2 linked regions of the Rattus norvegicus genome follow. The protein of the gene in region 2 interacts with the protein of the main gene of each other region in a pairwise test. Links are inferred from orthologs where the notes say so. Each region holds a gene or a part of one and is shown on either strand. Other genes may lie near its edges.

Region 1 (4,128 bases), on a different chromosome or scaffold from region 2:
GGAATCCCCTTCACTAGAGGGTCTTCTCTAGATCTTTCTTCAATATAATCTCTTACTTCTTCACAACATTTGGAAACCTTAAAAGAAAGGAGACAGAGGTAACTCATTTGTTTTACAACAGAGGTCTGCAGATGATAGAAATGTATTTACTACAATACATTTCTAGGTTGCAACTTTTTAAAGATGATTCCCTCTGCTCCTGCCAGTGCACGTGTATTTTTCAGGGTAGGAAAAAATAATCATTCCCACACCTCCCTTCTAGATGTTTCTGGAGGAGAGAAAGCTGACCTTGAGCTAACCATTTCTAGTGGGCTCTTCCTCTGGCTTTGTCAAAGAAACACAAGTCGGGGAATTCTCCAAAGTAAGTCTCCCTTCTCTTCCTAAACATTTAGTGTAAAGATGGATGAGAGTGAAGAGTTGCTAAATTCCTGGCACATTCTCAGAGTCAGGTTCTCAGAAGTGCAAACACACAGTTTTAAATTCAACCACAGCAACTGCTCATAACTGCGTGGCACGTGATCCAAGCGGTCACTGACTTTGGCTATTTTGTTTAGTATAACGCGGGCAACAGAGCCTGTGCTCAATTGATGCTTAACGAGGGAATGTGTGCTGGAATGGGCACTCATTTGGTTTATAAAATTGCTCCTCATTCACTAATAGTTTCATAATTGTGATTTAGAAAACAGGCAGGCTTCAGTGCTGTATCTCTATAGGTAATACGCACATGTATGTATTCAAAAGAGTCCAAGTTATCCATGGCTTTTACCCTCAATTCATTTTATACTCAATCAATGCTTTTTTTATGACAGTAACATAGATCTGAATTGTTGACAGTGCAGTGACCAATTTGTAAGTCATGTAAACAGTGGCCTTTTTCAGTAAAATTGTGTACCACATACACATAAATGTTCATTTGTATACGTGCGTAAATATATGTGTGCACTCTAGATTCTATATTTGGAAATAGTCCCAGTCTAGTGACACTAGGAGATGAAGCCTTTGACAGTTGCTCGCACCCTGAGGGTCAGCTCATTATCAGCATTAGCGCCGAGGAGGAAGGGTCACCAGAGCAGCTGCTCCTCATCCCTTTTACCCTGTAGGGACACACTGAGGAGACACTACCTGGGAATGAAAGCACAGGCCCTGGACTTGGATAAGCACAGTTCCAGAACGTAGAGAATAACATCAAAATGATTCACCACTTCTGCAAAGGCATGCGGTCTGTTCTAACCTCTTATAGCAGCATGAATAGACTAGAGCAACAGATGTGTGTGAATATACAGCAAAAAAAAAATCTGTATTGGAGGTGGTGGCAGAAGAAAAGGAATAAAAAAAAAGCAGTAGTGGGAAGACAACACAGCACAGAGAAGACAGTGAGGTTTACAAACTAACATTGTTATTTAAACTTGCAAAATCGAGACTCTTCTGAATAGTTGGAGAGGTGGTGTATGTCATGTTTTCCCCCAAATAAAAACTCCAAGGTAATGAATAAACCTGAAAATATTCACATTGCTGACCAAAGGACACCCAGGAGCTCGTTGATGTGATAAGGATTTTGGCCTGTGTGTTCTATTGTGCTGATTGCCTATTTGAGTTTATCTTTATTCCAAATCTGGTTTTTGTCTCTGTGGAAGGAGTATCACGAGAGTTGGGGGAAGTTATAAAATAAAACTAAAATCTTAAATGTGTTTGCTTAGTAGTAAGGTCTGAGCAATGCATGGCAAGCAGATAGACTCTTTTCACTCTTTCCTCATAAGGATGCATAGATAGACATATTCCTAAAATGAAGAGAGAGTACCTAACACAAATCTACACTTCTTGAGATTCAGTCACTGTTGCGGGAAAGATGTCCATTCCCTTTTCCTTTCTATTCCATTTAATGCAGAGACCCCAGGTCACTATTCTCAAGAGCTAACAGATGTTTTTAGGAGAAACCAGTGAGGTTTTGGGGCTGAAATCATCTTTATTTGCACAGGAAGACTAGAATGTAATTATTTGTGACTGACCAGAGCAAGGCTGGGGAGATTGAGGCTGTACTTTTAAATACATGGACGACGTCAAATATTGTACAAAATGAAGAATAATCAACTTATGGGAACAAAACCAAAATATCTCAATGCCTTGTTTCATTTGAGTGCTTAGGTAAAACCCTATCTCTGTTTCAATTTTTCCCCTATTATCTTCTTGGTCTTTCTGTAAAGGTGTAAGACATTCCTCAGCTCAGTAGTCGTACCAAAGCAGGCCAAGAGCCACACTTGGACTGGGAAAACTAGCTTTCTAACCCTCGGGTTTAGAATCTAACTCTTGAAATAAATTTAATTATTACCTTTCTTCAGCACTGATTCTGTTTTCCACTAAGAATTTACTTTTAGATACATTGATCTGTTCCAGCATACGCTAACGGAATTGGGAGGTGTGGGTATTTGCCACGCTGTCTTTTCCGGTGAATTGGAGAGGTCACTCACTCACCATCACTCTTTCCAGGGTCACTTCCTTCTTGAGCTGGTCCACCTCCATCTTCAACTTGTCCTTTTCTGTCAGGTCCTCGATGTTGATCACCGGCATCTTTTGTCTGTGATAAAGATAGACTATAAGCATACACACATGAACTGCTGTACCAAACACACACACACACACACGAAGCCCATCCCTCTGCTCTGTACTTACCAGGGAAGCTGCTTTTGGGTTTTCTTTCAAATTGCCTGTGATAACCAACTCCTCAAGAACAAACTCTCCGAACACTGCTCATTCCACACGCCAGGCTTAGGATTTTAAAGCTTCTTCATAATCTTCCCTAATGTGATTAAACTAAGCATTTCTCTTCCCACACCTGCCAGGAGATTTGAAGGGAGAGAACCATTTAGTCAGCTTGCAATATAAAGTAGTAATGCCCCTTCCTTTCTTCTGGCCTTTTGCAGTCTGAACTTCTCGGTTTTCAACTCTCTAGTCAAAACCATCTGCCAAGGAATCAATGCCATTTAGTTCAGTCAGAGGTTATTTGGAGGACTGCCCATTAATCCTCAAATTGCTGGAGTCTTTAATCTGGTATTAAAAGAGAACTATTTATAAAGAGTACCATTATAAATACATCATAGAGAATGGACTGAAATCTGAACGGATGAAGTTGAATATAGTAAATAAACTTCAGAAATAAGCTATTATACAATTTAGAAATGTCATTCAACAAAACCTAGGATTCTTTTTGTCTTTATTAACTTGGGTATTTCTTATTTACATTTCAATTGTTATTCCCTTTCCCGGTTTCCCAGCCAACATCCCCCTAACCCCTCCCCCTCCCCTTCTCTATGGGTGTTCCCTTCCCCATCCTCCCCCCATTACCACCCTCCCTGCAACAATCACATTCACTGGGGGTTCAGTCTTAGCAGGACCCAGGGCTTCCCCTTCCACTGGTGCTCTTACTAGGATATTCAATGCTACCTATGAGGTCAGAGTCCAGGGTCAGTCCATGTATAGTCTTTAGGTAGTGGCTTAGTCCCTGGAAGCTCTGGTTGCTTGGCATTGTTGTATATATGGGGTCTCGAGCCCCTTCAAGCTCTTCCGGTTCTTTCTCTGATTCCTTCAACGGGGGTCCTATTCTCAGTTCAGTGGTTTGCTGCTGGCATTCGCCTCTGTATTTGCTGTATTCTGGCTGTGTCTCTCAGGAGCGATCTACATCTGGCTCCTGTCGGTCTGCACTTCTTTGCTTCATCCATCTTGTCTAATTGGGTGGCTGTATATGTATGGGCCACATGTGGGGCAGGCTCTGAATGGGTGTTCCTTCAGTCTCTGTTCTAAACTTTGCCTCCCTATTCCCTCCCAAGAATACTTATGATTTATAGGTAACTGCCGCGGTGCATTGAACAAGAGTGTTGAGCAGCTATGACTTGTTCAAGGGAGCATATTGATTCTGATCTGCCAATGTAACTTTTGTGAGAAGAATGGCTTCTTCTAGCAATCTTCCTCTTGTTTAGAATCATGGATAATGGAGAAGAAGGTTTGGTAGATGTTGGTATGCCTGAAATCACTTGACAGGTATATTGTCATACTCAAATGACATTGTGTCTGTCCTCTGCTTCTCTCCTTTTCTGCTCTGTATCTGTAACTTAATTTTCATATGAAAATCTTATG
Region 2 (4,008 bases):
TACCACCCCCCCCTGCTCACAACACACACCCCAAACACCCGGGAGGCGAGGGAGAAAGGAGGCTGCGTCCCGACTCCCTCTGTCACAGGGGCTAGGGGTGCCACATTCTGCACTCTGGGAAAGCCGACCCCAACCGCAGGGACTTCGCGCCTCCCTACTGTTTGGGAGTATTCTAGCTGCGGGTTCCTAGTCTCCCTCATCACCCCGGGAAATCCTAGCAGCCCACTGCCAGCTCTCTGCCTCCGTGGGCCAGCAGGGGTAGAAGGGAGAGAAATCCTGTTGGCTTCCCCTTCTAACTTGACACGCAACACACCCCGCGGCCACTCCAAACTCTGCCAGCAGAGCCCGGAGTGGCTGTCCCGACGTTCCGGGATCGGGTTCGAGAAGCGCCGAGTGCGCAGTGAGGAGCGAAACCCTAGCGCGCGCCCCTCAGCCGGAGGCCGGTGTGGCCAAGCCTGGGACCCGCTGTGCAATGCCAAGACCTGGCATTTGCAGCCTGGCGCGGAGCGAGCTGCGTGGGGGCAAGGACCGGAGCGTGGTAAAAGTTCGCCCGCGAGCACTCACCCACGCCGTATTTCTCGTGCTCCGTAGGTATCCACATGGCTATAAAGGGCGCTGAGGGGCTCCGGGCTATGCAATCCCCGCGCCCCTCCAGTGGCTCACAACAATGCACGGCTCCCGAAGAGCAGCTGCGGCGCTGGAGCACAGCAGATCGCGCGGGCTGCGGCGCTGGGCAGGGGCTTCTCCCGGGGCTCCCGAGCGGACACTGACACTACACGGACGAGACGGAGCCGCCCGCTGCTCTGCCGGCCGCGGCTGCTCACAGCCCTGCGACGCGCTCTCGGGGACCCGGCGGCGCAGTCATTGTTCTGATTCACTGAACTAAGCGAACACGCCGGGGCACTCGCGGGCGCACCCCCGCCCGTCAGCGCCCATCCAGCGCTGCCTCCCCACTGCCTCGCGGCATGCCGGGAGTTGTAGTTCTTACTCTCCCGGGCCCGGAAGGGGGCGTGGCTACAGCGGTTGGGGGCGGGGCAACTAGTTAGGCTCATCACATTCGATTGGTCCAAAATGTGACGGCACAGCCCAGGCGTGTAGAAACTCTCTCAGTGGGTCGGCATGCGACCCCAGGCGCGTTTTTATTGGTTATCTCCCCGCTTCGCCCCGCCTGCGGCCCGCCCCTTTCAACTGGTTCAGGTAATGGCTGCTCCAGAGGCCCAGGGGCTTGGTGTGGACCCCCGGGAAGACCGGGTCCGCGGGGTCCGCGGCGGAATCGGGCACATCGATCATGAAGGTGAGTGCGCTGTCCCTTGGGTGCGTGTGATCTGTCTTTCTTTTTCTGTGCCCGGGGTGCAGCTGGCAGCCGCTCAGACCTTAGAAGCTGGTCAGCTAGGAGACCACCTTGGCAATGCCAGGCAAAAAGCCGCGGGCGGAACCCACAGAGATTGGGTGGGGCAGAGGGCGGTTGCCAAGCTGAAGCTGTTTTGGGTGGGACGAGAAAATGTGAAGAACTGCCTTCCCGGCCTCTGAGAAAGCTCCTTTTGCTTTGTTCCGGTTTGGAATTATGTGCTTTGCACTTGCCCACGAGTGGGTGTGGGTCAGGTCTGGGTCGCACGTGTGTGATTGTAATGCTGTGATTAGGCGCTATTTCCTGACTAGTATCCTCAGTTTGCTGAATTTGTTTTTGGGAAGGTGTTTTATGTAGTTTGGGGCGGGTTTCCAAGTTGGAGACTAGTCACGTCACTGTTCTCCAGTACTTGCGGGTTGCTCTTTGGAGTCCTCTCCAAAGGGAAAGGATGTGTGTATCTCAGGAATCATTTGACCCTGGAGCCTGGGAAATCTTACGTCCTAAGTCGTAAGAGAAAGAGGAAAAAGAGAATTAAATGCACTCCCGCCTTCACAGAATATTTAAAAGAGGGTTTTGAAACTCATCACAACTACTTTGTATCTACCTGATTTTGGTGTTTTCTTCAATTCCACTATAGAGATCAAAAATCAAACTTTCGTAGACTACCTTTCTTTTAGTCGAGCTCCACTCCCCACCCATTTTAAGTATATAATTTAGCACAGCAAGTTCTCTTATGTAAATGGATAGGATTTGGGGGTTAATTTGTGTCTCAGTCCTTGTTGATGTTTTTTCCTTTCACAGCTTTTAGTATGAAGTTTTTATCTCAGTAGCAGAGAAATGAAGTGCAATTTCTTCCCACTTCCCCTAGGTGAAATTCCTATCATCTAAGCAACCTATCAGTGGGTTTGCCATATATCCCATACTTCTATAACAGACTGTTAAGCTTTTCCAGATTACCAAAATTCCACAGAGCTACCATTTTAAGATATAAAGTTGGAAGCTTCGATAATTTTTCTCATGGGTTAATTTATTTGAGAACTTATAAATACCTCCAAAGCATAATGAATTACCTTACAATTACAATTCATTATATTTCAAGCAGTTCATTCAGAGGTATTCAGATTTAAAAAAATATTAAGTCTCTCCACTACACAGTTCCACTTATAAAGACAAAAGTGATGCAAATTTTGACATATTTCTTTATAATATACATTGTATAACTCATTTTTAAATGACGGATAATTAAAGGGATAATTTTTGTAAACTCAAAGATCTACAACTTTCTTCTCCCTCTTGTGTATCAAAGATATTTCTTTATCAACATTTTTTGTAACATTTAGTGACTACACTCAGGTTCCATAGAACAGATATTCCATACTCTAGCCAGTCCCCTCTTAATAAATGTATAAAGTCACTCTGATTTTCAATAGCATTACAGAGAGTGGATTTGTTTATATGTGTGTGTGTGTGTGTGTGTGATACATATGTATATAGATGGATAGATTGATCCAGTAAAGTATTACTTTGTCCAGTATTAAGCTTGTGTAATTTTTATGTAGATACCAGTTTTCTGTCTTAAAAGTACTCATCATGAATATTCCCCAATAATAACCAAGTATCCTTTACCCAATATTTTCAAAAAGTGTGAGGAAATTATTAATCCAGGACCAGTGTTGAAATATAGAAAGACCGAATTAGGTGACTAATGAAAACTTAATTTTAGTCTCCAAATTATCTTCAACAAAAGCATTGAGCAGCAGAGAATTTTCAATGGTTGTCACAAAAAGCATCTCTTTCCTTACTTCAGAACTGCCCAGTATTATCATTGACTTAGGACAGTGGCTGGGAGAGTGTCATGATTAGTCTTATGTCATTTTTAGTAGGTAAGTACATAAATTTATCATTTAAAATTCTCCTTTAATAATGGATCATTCTTTGACTTTATCAGAATTCTTTTCAAACCCTGCAAAATGGGACATACATTTTAGGTGGGAATAATTGCATTAGGAGTATATTTCTTCTTAGGCAGGCATTTAAGTGATCCAGAATGTCTTTCTCTATAAAATCACACACCTCTTTACTATCCGGGAAACTGCTGCTTTTCAGAGGTTTCTTTTAATTCTAATTAAAATGTCATTCTATGTGTTTAATATCCTGAGACAAAAGGGCCCGAGGAGCCATTTAATAGAAATCCTAGCAGTTCTGTAAAATCTCTGCAGGAAGGAGCATTAGATGGAGTTCGGGCACATACAGCTCCCTCTCTGAGACCACTATGCTCCCCGAGGTTTTTTTAGTCCGTTCCTCCCCATGTCCCTACCTTGGTTGGTTCACAGCAAAATTGTCTATTGAGAAAAGTCATAAAGTCTGTTTGTTGGCAATACAGATAAAGAAAGAAATGGTACCAAGTGTGCAGCTATCTTCCTTGCACACTCTCCAGTGTACAAGAACTCTTGGTGTTAGGAGAGGGGCTTAGGACTGAACTAAGGGCGATGGATGTCTGCTGAGACTCATGTGGAGAGGAGGTCAAATGACCCGGTCAGGCCAAGACTTATCCGTGTCTGCTGCTCATTTAAACAGAAATTAGTGTCCCGTATTGTTTCCTAAAATTAAAAACAAAAAATAGGGTTTGGGTAGATGGCTAAGTGAAAGCACTTGCTATG

The links.
Region 1: the proteins of Zfp277 (region 2) and Gngt1 interact in a two-hybrid assay, tested with the Homo sapiens proteins (3 studies listed by BioGRID and IntAct). The two-hybrid records come from large-scale screens. The link is inferred for Rattus norvegicus from reciprocal best matches to the Homo sapiens genes ZNF277 and GNGT1.

What each region holds. Positions count from the first base shown.
Region 1 is NC_086022.1:32,959,617-32,963,744, reverse strand, and holds the start of Gngt1 (guanine nucleotide-binding protein G(T) subunit gamma-T1), read right to left. Parts: upstream 2,801-4,128; 5' UTR 2,668-2,800; intron 2,573-2,667; 5' UTR 2,566-2,572; coding exon 2,470-2,565; intron 78-2,469; coding exon 1-77. UniProt on the Homo sapiens protein: Guanine nucleotide-binding proteins (G proteins) are involved as a modulator or transducer in various transmembrane signaling systems.
Region 2 is NC_086024.1:63,236,999-63,241,006, reverse strand, and holds the start of Zfp277 (zinc finger protein 277), read left to right. Parts: upstream 1-1,200; coding exon 1,201-1,294; intron 1,295-4,008. UniProt on the Homo sapiens protein: Probable transcription factor. Involved in modulation of cellular senescence; represses transcription of the tumor suppressor gene INK4A/ARF, perhaps acting via the Polycomb group (PcG) complex PRC1.